Lytechinus pictus: one gene and its partner. The protein of the gene in region 1 purifies or fractionates together with the protein of each later gene. This does not show direct contact. Links are inferred from orthologs where the notes say so. Each region holds a gene or a part of one and is shown in the gene's direction. Other genes may lie near its edges.

The links.
Region 2: the proteins of enhancer of mRNA-decapping protein 4-like (region 1) and enhancer of mRNA-decapping protein 3-like purify together in Homo sapiens (affinity purification with mass spectrometry; 6 studies listed by BioGRID and IntAct, with this or other methods). This does not show direct contact. The link is inferred for Lytechinus pictus from reciprocal best matches to the Homo sapiens genes EDC4 and EDC3.

The regions. Positions count from the first base shown.
Region 1 is NC_087246.1:64,498,951-64,510,179, reverse strand, and holds the start of enhancer of mRNA-decapping protein 4-like, read left to right. Parts: upstream 1-5,470; 5' UTR 5,471-5,599; coding exon 5,600-5,759; intron 5,760-9,056; coding exon 9,057-9,078; intron 9,079-10,719; coding exon 10,720-10,765; intron 10,766-11,229. UniProt on the Homo sapiens protein: In the process of mRNA degradation, seems to play a role in mRNA decapping. Component of a complex containing DCP2 and DCP1A which functions in decapping of ARE-containing mRNAs. Promotes complex formation between DCP1A and DCP2.
Region 2 is NC_087249.1:27,565,447-27,576,409, reverse strand, and holds the start of enhancer of mRNA-decapping protein 3-like, read left to right. Parts: upstream 1-6,603; 5' UTR 6,604-6,700; coding exon 6,701-6,867; intron 6,868-7,595; coding exon 7,596-7,741; intron 7,742-8,301; coding exon 8,302-8,757; intron 8,758-9,441; coding exon 9,442-9,777; intron 9,778-10,185; coding exon 10,186-10,339; intron 10,340-10,963. UniProt on the Homo sapiens protein: Binds single-stranded RNA. Involved in the process of mRNA degradation and in the positive regulation of mRNA decapping. May play a role in spermiogenesis and oogenesis.

The DNA.
Region 1 (11,229 bases):
GAAAAAAAAGACGAGAAAAGAAAAGAACAAGAACAAGAAAAGGAAAAAAAGCATAAGAAAATAAAAGAAAACAGAAAAAAGAAAAGAAAATAGGTTAAAAAAAGAAAAAAAGGAAGAAAAAACAGAAAAAGAGGAAGGAGAAAAAAATGAAGAGAAAAAACAAATCAAAAGGAGATAAAAAATGTGAAGGAAAAAAAAGAGAAAGTAAAATAGAAAAAAAAGGATGAAGGGAAAATTTTTTCCATCCTCACAAAGAAGGCTCCAAATCAAAGCAATGGCAAAATATTCATTTTCTGACTGGTTGCCAACCCAACACAAGACAGAAGAAGCTCTAAAAAAGAAAGGATCACCAGTCGTTCTTCTAAATTAGCTCTTAACTTACGATCAGCTTTATGTAACGGCCCCCTGAAAGCATAGAATTTTAAGCACTTTGGGGTTTCAACTTCTCATCAGAGTAGGCCCTACTAAAATTGTATGAGCGGGAGCTGACGTTTCTTTACCAGGGGTGGATCCAACTTTCACTTCTAGGGTTGCTGGGGTGGAAAAATATTTTCATCTTTATGTTTTCCCGATCGGATATTCTAAGCACTTTTTAAAACCGTAAACATGATGGGTATACGTATATCTAAACAATTGATGCGAGCAGGGGCGGAAATCTCTCCCAAAAGGTAGGGGGGACACAGGGGCGGATCCAGCCTTCGCCAATAGGCCGGGGGGGGGGGCGGAAATTTGTTTCAGCCATATTTTCCCCGATCGGCAGCTCGAAGATGATTTTTGTTTGTTTCTTTGAAGGGGTAGTCCTCATTAGTCACTTCTTAGCTTTATTCTTATAAATTAATATATAATATCATAATCCTTATTTATATGATGCGAGCGCGAAGCGCGAGCAATTTTTTTTGGAAATTTTATGTATTTTTTCCTAAAATTTGAACTGATTCTGGGCAATGTTTGTTATCCTGAAAAAGATGTGTATGCAACTTAATAATTACTACAAACGCAAAGTGCGAGCAGAAATGAACTGATGGAAAAGATGGCCTGTTAAAGTAGCATTTAACAATCAAATAATGCGAGCGCGAAGCGCGAGCTGAATTTTTTTGACATTTTCACCTAAAGAATGGAAATTCTAAGCGCTTTTTGTAAACCCAAGCAGAATAGGTGTATAAGTAAACAATTAATGCGAGCGCGAAGCGCGTGCAGAAAAATTTCGAAATTTAGTTCTATAATATTTACTGAACGAGACACTATTCATGTTTTGTAAATCCTGAAAAGGATGAGTATTAATAATGCGAGCGCAAAGCACGAGCAGAAAATTTTAATATACGTTTTGAACTGGTACCTGTTGAAAATTTTGATATTGTGATCTGAAACTGGATAATGATTTAAATTAGAGAACAAGTTGAGTATCTGAATAAATGCGCGATCGTGTTTCATATTTAAACCTAGAATCTAGGCATTCTAAATACAACTTCAATCATGAAAATCATTAACCTTTGATATTCCGATCTGAAAAAAGAGTCAATTTCAGCTTTATATTTCAAGCACTTTGTAGAAAACTTGTAAGGTGGATATGGATCGCATTTAAAAAAGAGCTGATATTATTATTACTTTGAGTTTTGACATAGGACCGGGACATCCTTACGACATGTCATCATATGAAAATGATCTTCCTATTCCTCTTGCTAAGCGCGAGATGAAACAAAAGGGACAATTTAATTATTAAATTAATATCATATTTATTAATGCCTAATGAGGACGTGAAATCTGATGATATCATGGCATAAAAACTGAACATTTAACTTTTGTGATTATGAATAGGATGCATCAGTTATTATATTTTTTACCATTAATGCGAGCGCAAATCGCGAGCTAAAATTTTTGATAAACTGTCATGAAAAGGGGATTTTAAGTAGTTTTTGTATAATCAATATTGAAACATTTATATAACTCGCCAATCAAAATGCGAGCGTGCAGCGCGCTAGCTGATACGTCTTGACAATCAGACCTGAAAAGTGATATTTTGAAAACTTTACGGAATACACGAAAATAATAGGTACCTGATAAATCAAAATTTGCGATCGCGCAGCGCAAGCAGCAAATGTTAACATTCGGACCATAAAACTGACATTTTTACAGAGCACTTTTTAAAAACCAATTTGTAAATTACACAAAATAATGAAAGTTCGATTTCCGAGGTGAAATATGTTTTGTATATTGACTTCCAAACTTGATATTCGAATTCCATATTGAACAAGATATGTAAATCATCTAACATGCAATGCGAGCGCGAAGCGCGAACGAAAATTTTATATAGTGGCACGAAAGATTCTTTTTATTTTCCAAGTCTTCCCCTCATCTTATTTTATGCACTCGTCGTCCTTCTCTTCTTTTTCTCCTCTCTTTTCCCTCCTTTTTCTCCTTTTTCCTTCTTTCTTTCCCTTTTTTCTTTTATTGCTCCGCCAAGAGGGGGGGGGGGGGGGGGCGGACCCCTCGGCCCCTGGATCCGCCTATGGGGACAAGGGGCGGGAAATTTGACAAGCAAAAAAAAAGGTTATCATCGCCAAAGTAAGGTCATCTCGTCCCAAAATACATGTTTTATTTCGATTTAGAATGATGTATTTCTTGCCATCATAAAAGACCAAAAATAGTAGGGGGGCATTTGATATTGTGTCCCCCCTACTATTTTGAGTAGGGGGGACACGTCCCCCTGTCCCCCTTGGATTTCCGCCCATGGATGCGAGTGCGAAATTCGGAAAATCTGTAAGAATATTTGGTAATCAAGTACTGGATGGGTATCTATATCAACATAATATGCAAGCGCAAAGCGCGAGCTGAGAATTTTTGAATTTCCGACCCAAAACTGGACATTCTAAGCACTTTTTGTAACCATGAACAGAATGGGTATCTTTATTCATGCGAGCGTGAAGCGTGAGCTGAAATTTTTTTTTTTCTGACCTAAAATTTTGACATTATTTCTAAGCACTATTGGTAATCATGAACAGGATGAGTATCTAACAAAACATTTTATGTGAGCGCGAAGCGCGAGCTGAAATTATTTTATTTTTTCGACCAAAGTTGGACATTCTTAGCACTTATCTAACCATTAACAGGATCTTAGGGTTTTTAATTTCCGACCCCAAACTGGACATTTTAAGCACTTTTTGTAACCATGAACAGGATGGGTTATTTTTATAATTGATGGGAGCGTGAAGCGCGAACAGGAAATTTTTTATATTCTGACCTAAAATTTTGACATTTTAAGCACTATTGGTAATCATGAACAGGATGGGTATCTAACAAATCATATTATGCGAGCGCAAAGCGCGAGTTTAGAATTTTCAAACTTTTCTGATCCAAAACTGGACATTCTAAGCACTTTTTGTAACCACGAACAGGATGAGTATCTTTATTCATGCGAGCGTGAAGCGCGAGCTGAAAATGTTGGATATTCTGACCTAAAATTTTGACATTCTAAGCACTATTGGTAATCATGAACGGGATAAGTATCTAACAAAGCATTTTATGCGAGCGCGAAGCGCGAGGTAATTTTTTTTAAATTGTTTAATGTTTCGACCTAAGTTGGACATTTTAAGCACTTATCTAACCTTTAACAAGATCGATCGTCACCTTGATACAAACACAAAGAAAGAGATGAAAATTTTTGATATTCTGACCTAAAATTTGAACTTTCTAAGCACTTTTGAATTTGGTGAATTTGGCGCCCCATGACAAACATCAAATTGTGCCCCAAAGGTCGAATATGAATTTGGCGCCCTCTCCCTAGGTTAAGCATGAATTTGGCGCATCAGGACAAACATCAAATTGGTGCTCCTATTCAGCGCCCCTATATAGGTCGAACATCAATTCGGCGCCCCACTTTGTCGAACATAAATTCGGCGCGCCCCTAGGTCGGAATCAATTCAGCGCCCCCTATGTCGAACACCAATTCGGCGGCCCTAGATAGAATATCAATTCGGCGCACCTAGGCGCAACATCAATTCGGCGCCCCCCCCCCTACGTAGAATATCAATTCGACGCCCCTATGTTGAACATAAATTCGGCGCCCCTAGGTAGAACATCAATTCGGCGCCCCCTATATATCAAACTCCAATTTGGCGCCCCTATAGTAGAACATCAATTCGGCGTTCCTATAGGTCGAACATAAATTCGGCGCCCCTAGCAGAACATCGATTCGGCTCCTCCCTAGTTTAAAGATCAATCATCGGCGCCCCTTATGTCGAACATCAACTCGGCGCCCCTAAGTAAAAAATAATTCGGCGCCCCCAATGTCGGATATAAATTCAGCGCCCCCTGGGTTGAAGATAAATTCGGCGCCCCTATGCCGAACATAAATTCGGCGCCCCCTTGGTCGAACATCAATTCGGCACCCCTAAGTAAAACAACGATTCGGCGCGCCCCCCCCCCCCTATGTAGAACATCAATTTGGCGCCCCTTCCTTTTTTTTTCTTCTCCCTTTCTTCCCCCTTTTTTCTTTCTCTTCTTTCCCTACTTTTTTCCTTTCTTTTCTTGATATGGGGCAGCTGTTCGTTTATGACGTCACATATCCAAAACTTGAAATTCTAATTACTTTCTTAATCTTTAATGGATTTTCTTCGAACCTTCACCAATATTTTTATCTTTTTCATCTTTAAATAACCTTAAAAACGGACATACTGGAGCTTTTGCAGTACCAAACACTTATTATTATTTTTTTCTGCTATTTTTACAACAAAGTTTTCGCCAGGGTGATCGAACTTCCCCTTTAAGAATTCCATTAATTGGTCTCTTTAAGTGGTCTGGCATGATTTTTTTATTAAGGGGGGGGGGGGTAAATACTTTGCAGTATATGATGAATTTTAATAATTTAGAATTTAGAAATACAAAGGGATAATATTAACTTTCGCAGGAAAAAATAATAATTATGATGAAAACGAAATGTTGCATAGACGGCAACTGAAAAAAATAGATATCGTCAAGTGAAAGTGGGTCATTCAATCATAACAAATAGAATATAATAAAAAAACACATTTTGAACTTTTTAATGCAGGCTTGAAGTTTGTATCATAAGGAAAATGCGATCGAGAGGAGATAAGAAGGGGGGGGGGTCATCGCTTGATCATGGCCCCTCGGGTCTCATGGCCCGGGCTCATGGCCGCGTTGCACCAAGAAGGAAGGGGGGTAATGGAGTCTTAAAAGAGAATCTTACATGAATTAACAAGGGATCGCTATGGGAAAATTTGACATTTTACCATTTTGTCTTGCTCTCTTATCTGATTATTTTGCACCCCCCCCCCCCGATTCCGATCCTTGTCTCAACAGCGGAAAAAAGGGAAAATAGAATAATAGGATACCATGATGCTTTTTCTTCAGTCATATTAGTGTCTTTGCTCAGTCAGTTTATCTCGTGCGAGCTAGCTGCGCGCGTGTATGTTGTCTATATTTTATGCATGGTAGATGAGTACTAGCTAGCGCTACAGTACATGTACCGTATACGATACACACACAACAACTTAAGCCAATCTCAGACTCTCCAATTTTCGGAGTTGTTTTAGGGTTTGTTTAACAGCTTTCCTGCGTCGACGAAATCGGGTTTGATTTCATCATGGAGCCAGGCCCGACTAGTGGGAATCAGCTAAACAGGCTACTTAGCGGTGGAGATGCCTCACAAATTTTAAAGAACATGTTGAATGTTGGAAAACCAAATCAGTCGAACAACGGGGGTGTTGGATCTGGATCCGGAGCATCGCCACAAAATGTGTCGGGTATGTATGAAACGTATGGATCAGGGAATGAAGCCTTGGGGAGAAGGAGGAGCGAGCTGTGCTCCCAAAATGGTCTTGAACACTAAACATGAACATCTTTAATAAATGGACAAAACGTTTTAGTCGATATTGACTATTGTTTCAAACTTTCATGTAGAAAGAAAGTAGAAATGTATTGTGCAAAGACAAAGTTCTAACTTCTACTTCTAACCCGGGGGGGGGGGGGGGGGGGGTTGCCAGGCGGCTTCTAGAGAGTAAAAATCATTTACTAACGTGATGTTACTCTCATACGAAGCCAGGCAGTCCTCCCCATTCATCTGCGTGTACCGCAAAAAACCCTGAAGCTTTCGCCCCCGAGATTACTACTTTCCTTCTAAAAGATCTAGCTCTAATTCATGTAAATGGGATAAAACTTCATTTCCAACATTTCTACGCTCTCGTTGTTATTTTTAAAACAAGAATTCATCAAAAAAATGAAAAAATATTGTGAAAAGATGGAAGAGACTTGCCCGATGTTTACGCCGCCATCTTGTTTCTCATTGTACTTCCCCAACGCGAGCGTCGCGTAACGTTGGGGAAGTACAATAAGAAACAAGATGGCGGCTCAGGTTTAGGTCAAGACTATGTGCACTTTAATATTCATTGAATTTGCTTTGTGCAACAGAATTGATACCCCTCGAATTAATGAAAGATTACATAGATTAGTCTACTCTCCAGTCTCCACGGTGTTCCACCATGGCATGCATCTAAGAATTATAATTATTCTTTTCTAAGGAATTAAACGTTCTAACGTCAGTGAACCAGCTGAATGAAGCACTTGTAATCGTATACAGAAAGTCTGAACAGGCTTTGTATCAAACCGATCCTGGAAAGAATTTCTGATGGAATTCAGCCTTATAAGTTCAGTGATTCTTTTTTTAATTCCTCTTTTATAATTTTTACATATTTTTTGTTCTGAAGTGCCATTGCTATAGTATGGATAGATATGAACAAATTGTTGATGTTGGAGAGCAATAAGCCTAGTATGTGCTAGTAGTTCATGTGAATGATCAGAATAGAAGAACTGCCAATAACCCTTTTACTCTTATATTTCCTTAATAACTGTCCTCCAAAAACACTTTTTGATGTTGACATTAAAGGGGAATCCAACCCAAATAAAAACTTGTTTTTATAAGAAAAAGAAATATCAGACAAGTTGATAGGTGAAAGTTTGAACAATATCGGACAAACAACAAGAAAGTTATGAATTTTTAAAAGTTGTAAATATTGGTAATCACTATACTCATGGAGACTTCAAATTGGCCGCATATGTGATGTCACAGTGATGTAAGGCAAGGACTACTCTTCCATGTATTCCACTACACATTATGGCTAAAATGTCATTTTTCCCAAAATTCTTATTTTCAAATTATATTTTTCTTTCATGAGGACATTAAACAATATATTACCTGGGTTATATTTAGATTACTGCCCCAGGGGAATGGGTACTTAGGAGAAAACCACAAATCCCTGATAATACTGTACATGGCCTATGGGAAAGTTGTCCTTGCCCCTTGTCATAATTTGCTTACCCAGTTGCCAATTTGAAATCTACATACTAATAGTGATCTCAATTTTAAAGCAGCTATAACTTTCTTATTTCTTGTCCGATTTCTTTCAAACTTTCACCATTCTTTTAATTAGTTTTTCTCCTTCCCAACACAACACTTAATGGCCAAGGCTGGATTCCCCTTTAAAGAAACGAGAAATTTGTTTACTATCAACAGAAACATTTTACAGGGAAAATGTTGTCTACTTAGTTGAGTAGGGGTCTAAGTGTTAACTACTTAAAGGCTACATGTACATCTTTGGTTTTGCAAGATTAACCTGGTTTTATTGACTTGATTTAAATTTATCTGAGTAAATATGAAGGATTTATGTTTTGATGATATAAAGTTGTTAAAATCTTTTTGTTTTGAATAAAAAAATTAAATTGCCTCAACAACAAAAAATGCCAACCATTTGTGCACGTTTCAATGGATGCGATTTAAAAAAATCTTAAGTTATCTAAATCACAATTTAAATCACGATTTAAATCAGCCAACCTTGTATTCAATATTACCATTTCAAGATCTTTTTTCTTTTTTCTACAAAAAATAATATTCTTTGAAAAATAAAGTTTTTAAAAGAATGAAATAACCATTTTAAAAAATACAAAAATCAGAAATGTATCTTCTGATCTTTAAATGATTATTCAGTGGAATTGGCTAACCCAATATAATTTGCAGTCCAAATTATTAACATTTTAAATGTTATTAATTTGGATTGCAATTTTTCTTTTTAACTTCCCAATTTTGGGGATGTGGTTTATTCTCGGCTGTGATTTATTTTCCGGAAAATACGGTACCAAAAATACATATAAAATTATATATTTTCATTAGATTCACATTAAACTACAACCATAAACACCGAGATATCTAGATCTATAGAATATTGATATAGATTGTAGGAGCTCTGGAGAACAATGTGCAAAGACAAAATATTATAGTTACCCAACAAAGTATTAGGAATCTGCGCACCACATTAATATTCACATAATCAAATCATTCTACTCTTTGTGTCTCCAGAATAGCCCTTTTAGCTAGTAATATGCACATTAACCCTCAAAATTGTAAGATTCTTACCAAGAATGTATACATACGTGTAAATATGATGCAAAACAGGGTTAGAAAAAAAGACTAGAGCGGAGGTAAATATTTAGAGCACATGAATGATGGATCTGACATCAATTGGTCTAGTGGTAAAAGTTAAAAATTTAATCCTTATTTTGTGTGAATTTTGGTTTAGTGCCATATCTGTGGGAAATTATTACAGGTGCGACACCTCAGTGACTTACTCTTTTAAGAAGGTGACATTCATCAAGTCATGTTTGAGTGGTTAAGGGGGATTTATAGTCCAAGATTGTGATAAATGGACATTTTTTATTGTACAAAACTCATTGAAAGAGGGAGCTATTCCTAATTCTGACCAGACCCTTACATTTTGTAATGAAAACTCTAACTTGATTCAAGAATTTTCCAGTGTACTTTCTCTATCCCATAAATAGTTTTGCAAGTCTAGATGGCTGCTAAAGTGCTTTTTGAAAATAAAAATGAATGCCGTATGCTCTTACATTGTCAAGTGACTCTGTAAAGAAATGGTATACTTTCAAAACAGGTAAATTTTTGGATTAACTTTCAAACTCCCACTTTGAATTTAATTGAATTACTATCTATTCCTTCTGTTTTCTCCCTTTCATTTCCCTCCATTGTTGTACAGATTTGTCATCTCAAGCCAACAGGTAAGTGTGTAGTGCTATGTATGTTTTTATTTGTAGTTCATCAAGAAAATACATTGCGTGTATATGTATACTCCTCAATTACAAGCAAAGCACATTAAATATAAAATACATGGTTCATTTTGTCTGCACTCTGCAGAATGAGCAGTGAGTGAGCACAGAGGTGGAAATGGGTTGAAGCATTCATGAATGCTGAAATGCAGGGTTTACACAAATGGACTAATGCACTTCCTGTTATCTCGTACTGGAAGTACCAGGAATAAGGGGAATCCCCAGATAAATAATATCTGGTAGATTGCACAATACATGTATCTCACAGACATTTTTTCTGACATTGGAATGGGTACTAATGAAGTACTTGTTTCAGAACTACTTACATACATTGTAGTACGAGTTTCTGTCAATATGTTCACATGTTGACTTACACCAACATTAAATGGGCAACATAAAATCACTTATACGTATACATCATGTATCCACTGTACAATATTTGATAACAGCTAATGTACTGCATATGTCTGCATTTACACCAATGCATTCAGCTCGATTCGTTATTTGTATACAATCTGAATTTTCTTGATGTGGGTAGAATTACAGGATTTGTGGAGCTAGGTTTTCATCCTTCTAATTTTACATTTAAAAGTCATGTATAAATGTCTCATAAAATAGTGAAATCATTAATATGGATTGGGCATTATTGTCTTCTACCATTAATGGCAAAGCTGCCATAAAGACATGTACATATATTTTGCAAAGAGGTAATACAATGTTTCATTGCCTTTCTACTTAAAGGCACTGTAATGCAAATATGCAATTTTGTATCAAGGTCAGTTCCTCTTCTTACATTATGTCATTGGTATGGTCCAATATATTTTCATGCTTCTACATGTAGCTATATATAATTATAGGGGGAGCAAACTGAGTGCATTTTATCTCTCATTAACTGTTTGTTATAAATGGCTAGGTCTTATACCTTTTGAGATAACTGTGATTGATACAGATGATAAATTAGCCTATTATTTTATCTCTGTTGATAAACTGAAATATTTATGAGAGGAAATATACCCGATTTGCCACTTGATAAAATGATTATTGGGATATGAATGTATTGAGCATTGAATTGGTGTTTTAACCATTCAAGTGGACCTATATCACAAGACTACACTGTTGAGAATGTTGCATTGTGGGTAATAAACATGGTGGGTGTTTTATAAAGCTGTTTGTAGGTTAAGAGTGACTTTAAGAAAGAATTGTGATCCTTTCTCACAAGTGGTGACACCAAAATGTTAATTAATGGTGGTTTAGGGCATAAGAAAGGTTCACCAATCATTCTTAAAGTTGCTCTGAACTTACTAACAGCTTTATGAAACAGCCCCCTGCAGCCTGTTGCATAAAACTTTTTACCTGAGAAAACTCTGGTAAAAACTGAAAACTAAGGTTAGTCTGACTTCTGCTATTGACTTTAACACAGGGCAAAAACTCAAGTAAAAAATACCTGAGTTTTCTCAGGTAAAAAGTTTTATGCAACAGCCCCCTGGCCAGATATGAGTATTTGAAGACTTGAGGTGGGGCTATGAAAGGCTGCTGGTTCGTTTGCTCTTTAGCTAGTTTCTTTTCTTAAATTCAATTCGCTTTTATTTTCAGAGGTGACCCTGCTGTCATGAATGCCATGCCAAGCCAGTCTGCCAAGGTAGGTTACACAGACATCTCAAGTAGAATTTTATTTGACCAGGGGGGTGTTTCACAAAGATTTAAGAATGACTTAAAGTTGCACTTAAATGCCGACGTGTACATGATATGCAATCTTATTGATCAAAACGCAGTAGTGCGCGTCCACCTGGCATGATCTGACCAATGTCATGCCTTTTATACCGCAAGCAACTAGGCAATTAGGTGTGACTCTAAGTCATACTTAAATCTTTGTGAAACACCCCCCCAGTATAACACAAAGCTCAGTGATCGATTGCGGGGCTGATTTTAACGATTGATCTGTTTGATCATACACAACAATCAATGCACCAGGTTTCTATAAACACCGGGCAGCAGCCACCTGGCAAGGCAAATTACTGCCTGGCTTTTGAGTTCAAATTTGGTTAGGCGCCAGGCACTAACTATGCTGTATATTAAAGAGATCTCCCGTCATGACACAAAAAA
Region 2 (10,963 bases), on another chromosome or scaffold:
GACACCAAGATGGGGATGCTGACTGACTTCTTGAACTTCCTCTTCATTCAGGTACCAAGTGTGCTTGAGGTGGTCTTGCCCATTAAAGACGAGGATTGCACTTTTTGATGGGTTGATCTTGTACTTCCATGTGGTTGCATAGGTATGGATGAGATTCAGCATGCATTGAAGTTCTTTGGCTGAGGAAGCTATGAGGGCCACATCATCAGCTAGAACAATTACCCCAGCATACAGGTTTTGGCAGTGGCATCCAAGATCTTTGTCTCTTAGCAGCTTAATCAGGCCATCAATAAAGATGTTGTAGAGAAGAGGGGAGAGGATTCCTCCTTGTCTCACACCCTTCTGAAGAGGAAAGGAGCAGCTGGCATCTCCTTTCCGTAGTACTCTGCTGGATGCACCATTGTACATTTCCACCAATGTAGACTGAGCCTCCAGTGGTATAGGAGTGTCAGCTAGCTTTTGAAAGAGGCCAGGGTGCCAGACACAATCAAAAGCTTTAGCAGCATCCAAGAGGGCAAGATATGTTGGCTTCTTCCGAGATGTATTCAGCTCAATAAGCATCTCAAGGGTCAGTGAAGCGAGAATACAGGACTTTGAGGCTTGGAATCCAAACTGAAGTTCGCCAGGTGTGTTGACTTCAACCAAGGAGTCCTCAATCTTAGGTTTTAGGGCAATTTCCAAGAGCTTTGATAGAGTTGGGGTCAGGGAGATGCCTCTGTAGCTAGAGGGTTCGCTGACCGGTTTGCTCCCTCCTTTGTGCAGTGGGATGATCACTGCTTCCTTCAATGACGCTGGAAGATGTGCCAGTTTGATGGAGTTTTGGAGGAGAAGGAGAAGAAGGCGACGGAAAATTGGACCTGAATGAACCAGATGCTCAGAAGTTATGTTGTCGAGGCCTGGGGCTTTGTGAAGCTTGAGTTTCCTAATGGCTGTGTCAAGATCATGCGAGGTGAGAGTAAGCAAGACTTCTTCTGCACCTTCTGATTGAATGGAGGGCAGGTAAGGGGAGTGCTCAGTCATGTGTTTGGCTCCTTCGTAGTTGGTAGCAGTAGGATCTGAAGAGAGATCTTGAAAATATGATTTCCAGCCCTTGATGACATCCTTGCCCTGGAACAGGGTCTCCCTGTATACCATGAATGGGAGGTCCACTGTTGAGGGTTTGCCTGTTTTGTTTGACTTTACCAGGCTGTAGAACAAGGGGCTGTTCATGTCATTTGCCATCTCTATCTTTCCTTGCACTTTGAGTCTGTTGGAGGCTTCAGATTGTCTCAGGGCTCTCTTGAAGTCCTTTTTGGCTTCCAAATAGGATTTCCAAGTAGGGTGCCCATCTACTGGTTTACCTGCCTGTTTCCACTTCTTCCAGTGGGCTAAGGAGTGGGAGTAGGCAGATTTGACGTCCTGAGTCCACACTGGTTTGCCTTGTTTCTTGTCTTTATGGGCTTTGTGAGGGAGTCTCAAGGAGAGCTCTAGAATCTGATCTTGAAGACGACCAAAGAGCAGATCCACAGTGGCATGGTCCAGAGATAGTGAGTGTAGGTTTCGGAAGATGGTGGCTGCTTCTAGTTCCAGTGGGTTGGTGTAAAGTGAAGCAATTTCATTGCGATCACTGGGCCACAAGATGGAGTATCTCTGGATTGGTGTGAGATGGTTAGCGGTTGCCTCAGGCATGCGCTTTAGTCCAGCTGGAGACTTGGAAGTAGGGAGTTCTGCTGTGATGAGAACAGGACAATGATCGGAGGAGTTGAGGGGATGTTCTGCAATAATTTTATGTTGAGAATAGAGCCCTATATCCTGTGGGGGGATGATAAAGCCATCGATCCTGGATTTCTTAGAGCCATCATCAGACATGAAGGTATAATCACTAGGAGAGCAGCTAAGTGAAGTAAGACTGCACAAATCTTCTGAAGCAAGAAAATTCTTGAGAATGTCAGCCGTGCATTTCCTGGGAGAGGTCTGCATGGGGTCAGCATTGAAATCTCCTGCAACAATCTTAATGTGGTTACGTGTGTCCACGGAACTAAAAAATGACAAGATAGTGGACAAGCATAAATGGTATTCATTCACTTCATCATGAGAGGTACCTGAAGGAAGGTAGCAGTTAATGATGAGGAGGTTTGTTGATGTTGAAACATGCTTGGTTGAGATGGCTTGAACCCGAGGTGTGGTGCTTTTGAGATCTTTGGAATCTATGAAGAGTGCTTTGCGTAGGAAGATGGCGAGACCTCCCTTGCCTCTTCCAAATTTGGGAATGCCAGGGTAAGTCTCCTCTTCATGTGCTTTGGCTAAAGTGAGAAAATGGGAGTCTAGACGGGAGAGGGAGTGGAGCCCATGTTGGTTTGCCCAGTGCTCTTGGATGCAGGTAACATCTGAGGTGCATAAAAGGTGCTGGATGAAAGGAGTGCTACTGGTGTTGCCTCGAGAGTTGAACGTGACTACATTGATCGTGCAGGAGGTAGAGCACTCCGGCTGCTTTGAGCTAGATGGATTATTTGATGGTGAAGGACGTGTAAGTTGGACAGAACGACCTGATCCTGTGGAAAGTTTGGGTGGGAGAGAAGGTAGAGAGCTTTTGATGCGGCAAACTGGAGTGATTCTAGGAGAGATGCATGTGTCAGTGCCGAGGCTCTGCCCTGATGAAAACCCGAAGGGGTTGAGTTTGGGCGGTGCATTGATGAAGTAGGAGCTGCATGGATTGTCACTCGTTGGGCGGGAGGAGGATGTGGTGGGTTCCGCTCAGAGGCACTGCTACTGGGATGTGGCAGAGAAGTGTTTGTGGGGGGCTGTTAATATGATGAAGCAGACCTTGAGGGAGCCTGAGAGGAGGTAGGAGTAGTGGGTACTGCACTGCAAAGGGGCGGCGAGCATTTCCTGCATGAAGGAGTGGCGTAGGTGAAGGGACATTGCGTGGTGAAGTGGCTGATAGAGGGTTGGTAGGAGACAGGACAAAGCATTCACTACATTGGGAGGTAATGGAGTTGTCCAACCTGGTAAGAGGAGTTTTTTGGCCTGGGGTAATCGAGCCTCTTTGACTGTTTTTTGAAGGATTCCTTGACCAGCTGGTAGAGTGTGTAAGAGGACTGGTAGGCTCAAAGAGATCAGGACTATGAGTGTCTGCGGTATTGGTAGAAGCACGACTCTGTATGGGTGCCATTTGCGTTTGAGCTGCTGAAGTAGGACTCTTCTGAATTCTGATGTCCATAAGAGGTGGGATTTGGCAAGGTGTTGTAGGGTGATCAAGTCTGGGAATGAAAGTGGTTTTGGGTGCAAAGGTATCTGCATTCTGCCTAGGTGGCATGACATCTTTGGGTCTGTTGCTCTGGGGATGGGGACTTCCTGGGCTAGTAGAAGACTTATTCTGCTCTCTCGAAGGAGAGATTTTAGATCTGTTGCTCCGGGTAGCCGTGACTCCTTGTCCAGTGCAAGATTTAGTCTGTCTTCTATTGGGGGAGTCTCTAAATCTGTTGCTCCGGGCAGGAGTGACTCCTGGTGCATTGGAGATCTTATTCTCTCGTCTCTGGGGAGAATATCTGGTACTGTTGCCCCGGTTGGTACGGTCATTCAGTCCAGTAGAGGTCTTATTCTGTCCTCTCAGGGGGGAGGAATTGGTCGCCGAGTAAGTTTGGGCATGGATTGAGATTACAGGGGAGGCAGACTTAGGTACAAGACGCTTCTTGGGCGAGTAAGATACATCGACTTTGGTAGTAGAGGTTGGAGTCTGACTTTTAGAAGAAGAATCTCTAGGGTCCAATGGCTTAGGATGGCTTTGGAAAGCTCTCCTTTGAGAAGGAGAGTCAGCTGGCTTGATATGGCTTCCACGGTTAGGATCACTAGGAAAGGGTCCAAGATGGTTTGTCTTGAGGAGATCCTGATCAGTTTTCTTGAAGTAGCCAGGATCATCCTTCTTCTGTCTGTGTGTCTCAGCTGACATTTGGCCTGACTTTCTATGTGTGTGTTGTGAGTAATTAGATGCAGGATGAGGCTTAACAGAATTGCCATGTTCCTCCTCTGTTCCAGCAAAGGAAGCATGTAGCGAGTCATTCAGGTGGTCTGAAAGAATGCTAAAGCGATTCGATGTGGAGACAGGGGTTCCTTGGCGTGCAACAGAAACTTTGTGAGTGGTGGAAGTTTCCAGGTGAGAATAAGGAGGGATATGGTGTGTCACCTTGTTCACCTTGCTATGTCCAGTAGCACGCTTGTCCTCTAGAAGATACGGAAGTTCATTCTCATCAATGTCATGGTTCAGGCAGATAGCAACAAGATGATCATTTGAGGATAAGAGCGATACAATTTCTTTCTCCTTCCCGTTGAGCTCTGATGTTAGGTCTGCTATTGTTTTTTGTGCCTTCTTCTTGTGATTGGAATCTGCTGAACGGAGCTTTTTGAGAGACTCAATTTCGTACCTGGCTTGTTGTAAGTTGGATACCACTTGTTCATACTGCACAAGGAGGACATCTTTTGATAAGATGATGTTATCGAGTTTATCCTTGGTGTCCCTTAGCTTCTTGGAGAGGCTGGTACATTTGCAATCAGATGGAATTGGTAACATATCCTCAGGAGGGTCACAAGCAGCATCCTGTTTAGAGTGGTTTAGTGGATTGAGTTGGGTATTCTGGCTAGTAGGGAGACTGGTTTGAGATGCCCTCGAGATTTTCAGATCTTGCGGGATAATGGCGAGAGTAGTTTGAGTGGCCTTGGGATGCTGTCTCAGGGACTGGGTCTGAGTAGATATAGAAGTAGACTCAGAGCGGGAGGATGGGTTGAAGTCAGTAACATCTGTCATTCAATTAAATTGTTATCTAGGCATATACCACTTTTTAATTTTTATTTAGAAAAAATATATTTTTATTTTGTTACATTTTTGTGTTTTTCATGTTATGCTTAAAATTTACAACAAAAATCATCAAATCATACACAAAATTAAGATCAAAATCTGAGTAAAAAATATCTACATGTAGGCCTATGCAATGCTTGGTAACATAAATAAACAAATATTTATACATTTAGAGATTTAGAACATGTACATGTATATAATTAAAATGTTTAAGGGCATGTTTATGCTTCCACTTTTTCAGGCCAGACTCAGCATTTTCATACGTGATTAGTCCAAAACACTGTTGCATCCATTCTTACTTTCATTTAAACAACGTTTCAGAACGCTGATCGTAAACTTACGAAAAGGTGCGTTTCTAAACATTTGACCAGAATCAGGGTTTCTGGGGAAGTATAAACAGGATCACGATCGTAAACGTGTTTAAATGACCTGATTTGGTACATGCTTCCGGTGAGATGAAAATCTGCGGGCTAATACAGTTGCATGGTTCTATTACAGGGATTTACCTCCATGGAATTACCTCTCAACTTCCTGGTTTTAATAATGACCAATGTACATTTGCATGTGTGAATATTAAATTAAGGAAGTACTATCACTATCACAATGAATGTTGAGGGATTAAAAAAAAAGGAACATGAGTTATAAGGAGTCATCGCTGAGCCAGAAGCCCTGCAGTAGCATAAACAAATTGATGTCTTATTATTTTCTTATGTATACATATTTTATTTTGTCTTGCTATTATCCTCACCATGGTAGAAATTCTATGGCTACATGTATGTCAAGTAGCTCCAAGATCCGAAATTGTTCGAAGTTAAAATAATAGTCGACCATAACAACACTCAGGAACAAAAGTTTCAAAAAAGGGCGCGCCCAATTTGACCTCGCTTTCCTGCTCACCAAAAATTACGGTGCGAAACCAGCTGCAGATTGCAATTTCGCCTCTGAAAAAAAAAGGCCTACGTGCAGCCAGCACTGCACTAGCAGCTGCATGAGTTGGTAGCGAATCGGCATGCAAGTTGAATTGTCAGACTCATCATCATAGACGTGATACCCCTAATTTACCTCCATCCACGTCACTAGAGCTAGAAACTTCATCATCATTCTCTTCATCTTCAAAATCATCAATTTGAAAATCCAAAATCTAAATAAACTTCTGGGTTTTCTTTCATTTCGTGATCGAAGTATTCAGTGACAGTGTGGAGAAAACGTACCCTCGCAACAGGTTTTGCATGCAAGTGGAGCTTTACGTGGGAGAGCCAATCACGTCTCTCGTACACTTATACACGTCATCAAAAAAACCCAATTTTGCGGACGTAATTGAGCGTGTTTGAAGCATTTAGAGAGAGAACTTTAAACTATCAATTAAGTGAGTTCCATAGGTCTCCATGATAAATGATGTACACCATCGTGTTCTTCCTTTTTTCCCCTTTAATTTGATATATAATTCTTCATTTTTATGATTTTCAATATATTTCTACTTTAAAAATGAATTAATTCGTGGCAAGTTGGGAATAGAAAATTGGATGAAAGAATAACAATAAAGATATATATTTGTGTCTGACTATGAAATATGAAATGGTCTGGATCATTATGAATAATAGCAATGTAATATCAATGTTATAGAGGAATAAGGGAATTTTATATTAAAATAACAGCTAGAAGTAAGGGTTATAATACACAAAAACTTTGGATTACAAAGATTACCCGGCAATACATGTATCTATATTTTCCAAATATCACATTTGAAACTACAAAGTAATGCAGTATTTCTATTCAATTACTTTGATATTTTCTAGATTTTCTTGGCCAGACTACAAGAGCTTGAATTCATTTAGAGTGTTCCCTGTCGATCGCTACTTGGAAGAAGGTATGGCTAGTGAAAGCTTCATTGGGAACTATCTGTCCTTAGACTGCGGGCCGGTCCTAGGGACATTCCAAGGTGAAGTTTCTTCTGTGTGCAAGAAAGGACAAACTATCTCTCTTAAGAATGCATTCAGGAATGGAGTCAAGTATGGTGTTCCTGAAGTAACAATGAGGTTTGTTGTAAGACCTTAAAGAAAAATAAAAATTTCTGTCTCTACTTTATTTTAAATGACTTTGAACATTTTGAAGAGACATGGCTTGCAGTTTTCATTAATTTGTGAAATTTTGAAATAGTTATTTCCATTGATTCACTTAACTTATAAATATAAGTTGATGAAAAAAAAACATAACTTGATATCATTTGACATGAGTGTGTTGAACTTTATATTCATGAAATCATATTCTATTCTAAAGCATTTATGGAGTAAACTGGTAAATCTAAAGATTATTCATTTATAAGATTGAATTCATTATCAATCAAAACTTACGTGTACTTCATAAAGCACTTGTGTGAAAATGTGATCTAAAATTGTATATTCAATAGTAAAATTCAGTATCAAATGCAGGAATGAAAAGAAATCATGTTCAGGCTTTAAATATTTATTTTCTTTTTGGTATAATACCGCTTCTCAACCATTTGATGAAATTCCAACAGTTCATAAGCATACTGATTGATACATTAATCCATTCTAAATGGTCCTTTACATTAATTAATCCATTCTAAAATGGTCCTTTGATCTTATGGGAGGTAATAACATTACATAGAAAGGATGCTTTTAATTTAGACGAATTTAGACGAAGAATCAACATGTAAAATGATATAATGGGTACTCCCAGTACGCATTTGCGAGGTTTGTATAAGAATGATATATAAGAATGATTATAAACACTCTTATTTCAGAGCTTCAGACATCAAAGATCTGAAGATCCTGAAAACAAGTGCTGATTTGAAGGCAGAGGCAGAGAAAAATAGAGCGATCATCAAAGCAGTCAGCTGTAAATCAAAGTCTGAAGCAGTAAATGGAGACGCTATCTCTAATAACAAAGGTACATACATTGTACATAGTTATTTTTAAAATCCTATTATGTATAGAAAATGTACATGTATATGAGTTTTTTTTACAGTATTATCTGTTTTGAATTCAGTTGTGGGGTACATGTAAGAATTTATATGAAGTTTGAAGCTTAGAATGCGGTCTAGAAGATTTTTTTGGTTCATGGATTAAGGTTGATTGTTTTACATGAATTCAGTTTATCTTGCCAAAATGATCATATAATGGTTACTTATACAAAAGCCTTGATTTTCATTGACTATTGAATGATATTTGTTCTCATTGTCCAGATTGTGGACTTATTCTAAAAACTTGTAGGATGCTCAAATGTTATATATTGATATGATGAACTGTCAAAAAATATTTGCTTCTGCTAACATGTTTATGACTAAAATGGCAAATAAATTATTATTAATGAGATATGATTTAATGAGATAATGTTAAAAGTGATATTCGTCTGATCATTCCGATTGATGGTATGTTTTTTTTTTAAGTATTGGGAAAGAATTGAAAAGGAGTTTACCACAATATAAAAACTGTCTGTTCAATTTACAGACACATCTACCAACAAGCTGAATGGGGAGCTGAGTAAACCCAGTCTGACTGCAGTAAGGAGATCAGGAAATTCAGAAAGAGCTCACAGCAAATCACCCCACAGAAAAACCCCTGCAGGAACGTACAAAGAATCCAGTACAGAAGGTGGACAGAAAAACAAACATCAGAACCATCTCAATCACAGCCAGCGTTCTGCCTTTCACTCACCAAACCGCAATGAAACCACAGGAACAGACTCCCAGGAGAAAGGGAGGGTTGGGTTCAAAGCAAAGCGCTCTGCGTCGTTTTCGATGCCCCAAGGGAAAGGGGATGATAGTGGCAGACCTGGTAGACCAGGGTTTCAGAGGGTCCATAGCGTGGATGGACTTAGTAGATCAGGTGGGAATGAAAATGCAGGTAGAGATGAGGAAGAATACAGGCAAGGAGGAGACAAAGGAAGGAGAAGAACCTATTCTGGTAAGACTACATCTTTTCTCTTGTTGGGCGATACCATGCCAGGAATTTCCTTGTTTGTTTTGATGCCAATGGCGTCTTACTGGTTTAGAGACCAGGCAACTTGTACACATTAAAAACAAATAATAAAGTCATAGATATTTATGTTTCCCCAACAGATAATTTATTTAAATAATGAACAATTTTTACCTCTGGATCTCAATCAGTGATTTGTTTTCATGTCCTACACTGTAGTTTGCTGATAAAGTCGGCATCCATAGTATGCTCTTATTTGCTGCTGAAGGTGCTTTGTAATCTCAATCATGCAATCAACATGACGATTTAATGCACAGTGATCCCAAAAGTGTTGCATAAATCAATAGTCAGGAATGCCAGTTTTCTGTCTCTTTCAAATTTAACATAAGTGCTATGTGTTTTCCATTTCTCCCTTTGATCCCACCACAGATTAGCTGGAAAATAAAATACAAAAAATATGCTCAGATTGCCAGAGAGCATCTATAACCCTAGAGCTGGATCCTGGCTGTAGGGACTTTGCGTGCATAATTTTCCATCTGAAAAAAAATTAGGCCCTGGAGTCATATGTCACTGGCATCCCTGATTAGTAAATCTCCTTTGAAAGTCATTTTAGTGTGTGCATTGCAAGTATGATACTAATTGCATCACTTGATATGTTGCTCTTTGATATAGGGAACCACGAGAGCAACCACACACGATCATCGCCTGTCAAGATCAGTGGAGGTAATACCCGCAAGCACAACCGAGGAGGATTCAACTCACGCAACGCTGAATGCTTCAGTGCCCCTGTGGAAAGCTTCCTCAACGATGATTTTGACTTTGATTCAAACTTTGCCTTGTTTGACAAGGAGAACTTTTATGAGGAGTTGGACGCCATGGGGGATAATCGGCCTAAGAGACCAGGACCAAGGAATCTTCGCTTTGATGAGAACATTTTAGAGAGGAGGGAATCCGAAGAGGGGAAAAGGATCACATGTCCTGACCCAACTGGCAAGTGGTATCATACAGGTAAGAGAAAGACAAAATCCATGCAATATGCTATTGATTGCTCTTAGGTTACAATAACATTTATTCAAAAGAAGATAAATTAATTGGTTTGGAGAAACAAAGTATAGAGATCCTGCAACAAGAGCAGTGGCAAGTCTATAAATGGATGAAAATAATAGACTGTATTAGAATTCGTAGTGATACATTATAGCCTTTGGTAAAAGATCAGTAATGTGACTTATACTCCAGTATCATCCAACGTTCCACTATTACGAAAGTGAAGGGGTCATTGAATGTTTTTTTTTCAACCATAGAATTCAAATATGGCATTTTCAGCCATTAGAATTCAAATTTGGTATATATTTACGGCTTTTCTCAATTTGTGTGCAACTCCGTGTAAATCGTCATTTGTATCCTTCTTTTTTGCAGATACAGACATGCAGATTCCCGGGATATCACCTGAGTTAAAGGCCAGACTAATGTCATCAGCCACGAAGGTTGGCCATACTGTAGAGAGAAGACTTGAATCAGTTGGACTGTGTGCGGCTCAGGTGGCACTACAGCTACTTGATAAACAAAGACGGTAAAACTTAGTTCCGTTCTTACCTGAATCACAATGCTAGTTTTGTCTGTCCCACTGGATGTGAAGGCAATAGCAATGGATCCACTATCCATCCATTGTCCATCACAAATGTTAAAGTTTACCTGCAAGACTCTCTTGTCAGTCACTTGTAATGCAAATATGTTGTCCTTGAATAATTCACACCGCTTTTCACGACACCTTGCTTTACAAAGGTTGTGTGATATACACTCTAGCTTTGTTGCATGCAGGATTTATTCATTTGGGATTCCACAATGGCTCCTCAGATCCCCTGTTGTTTTGTCGAGTTAAATTGGTTGATTTGAAGAGAAATATGCAAGGTATAGTTTTTGTTGTATCGCATCACAATTTGCTCTACATGTTTAAAAGACTGCTATACAAAATACTGTTGTGAAGCAGATTTTTACATAAGACTGTTACAGAACTTAGTTCAGAGCTTTTCTCCTATGACCAAAATAGCCAATCAAATTTACCAAGCAAATTTATTCCCTGAAATTGATTAACATGTCTCTAAAAGCCAGGTATAAATAACTTGAAGCAACTTGTAAATAATCAGAAACATCCATATCCTGCTTGATTTTGGATTATTACCTGTCTCTCTTTTCC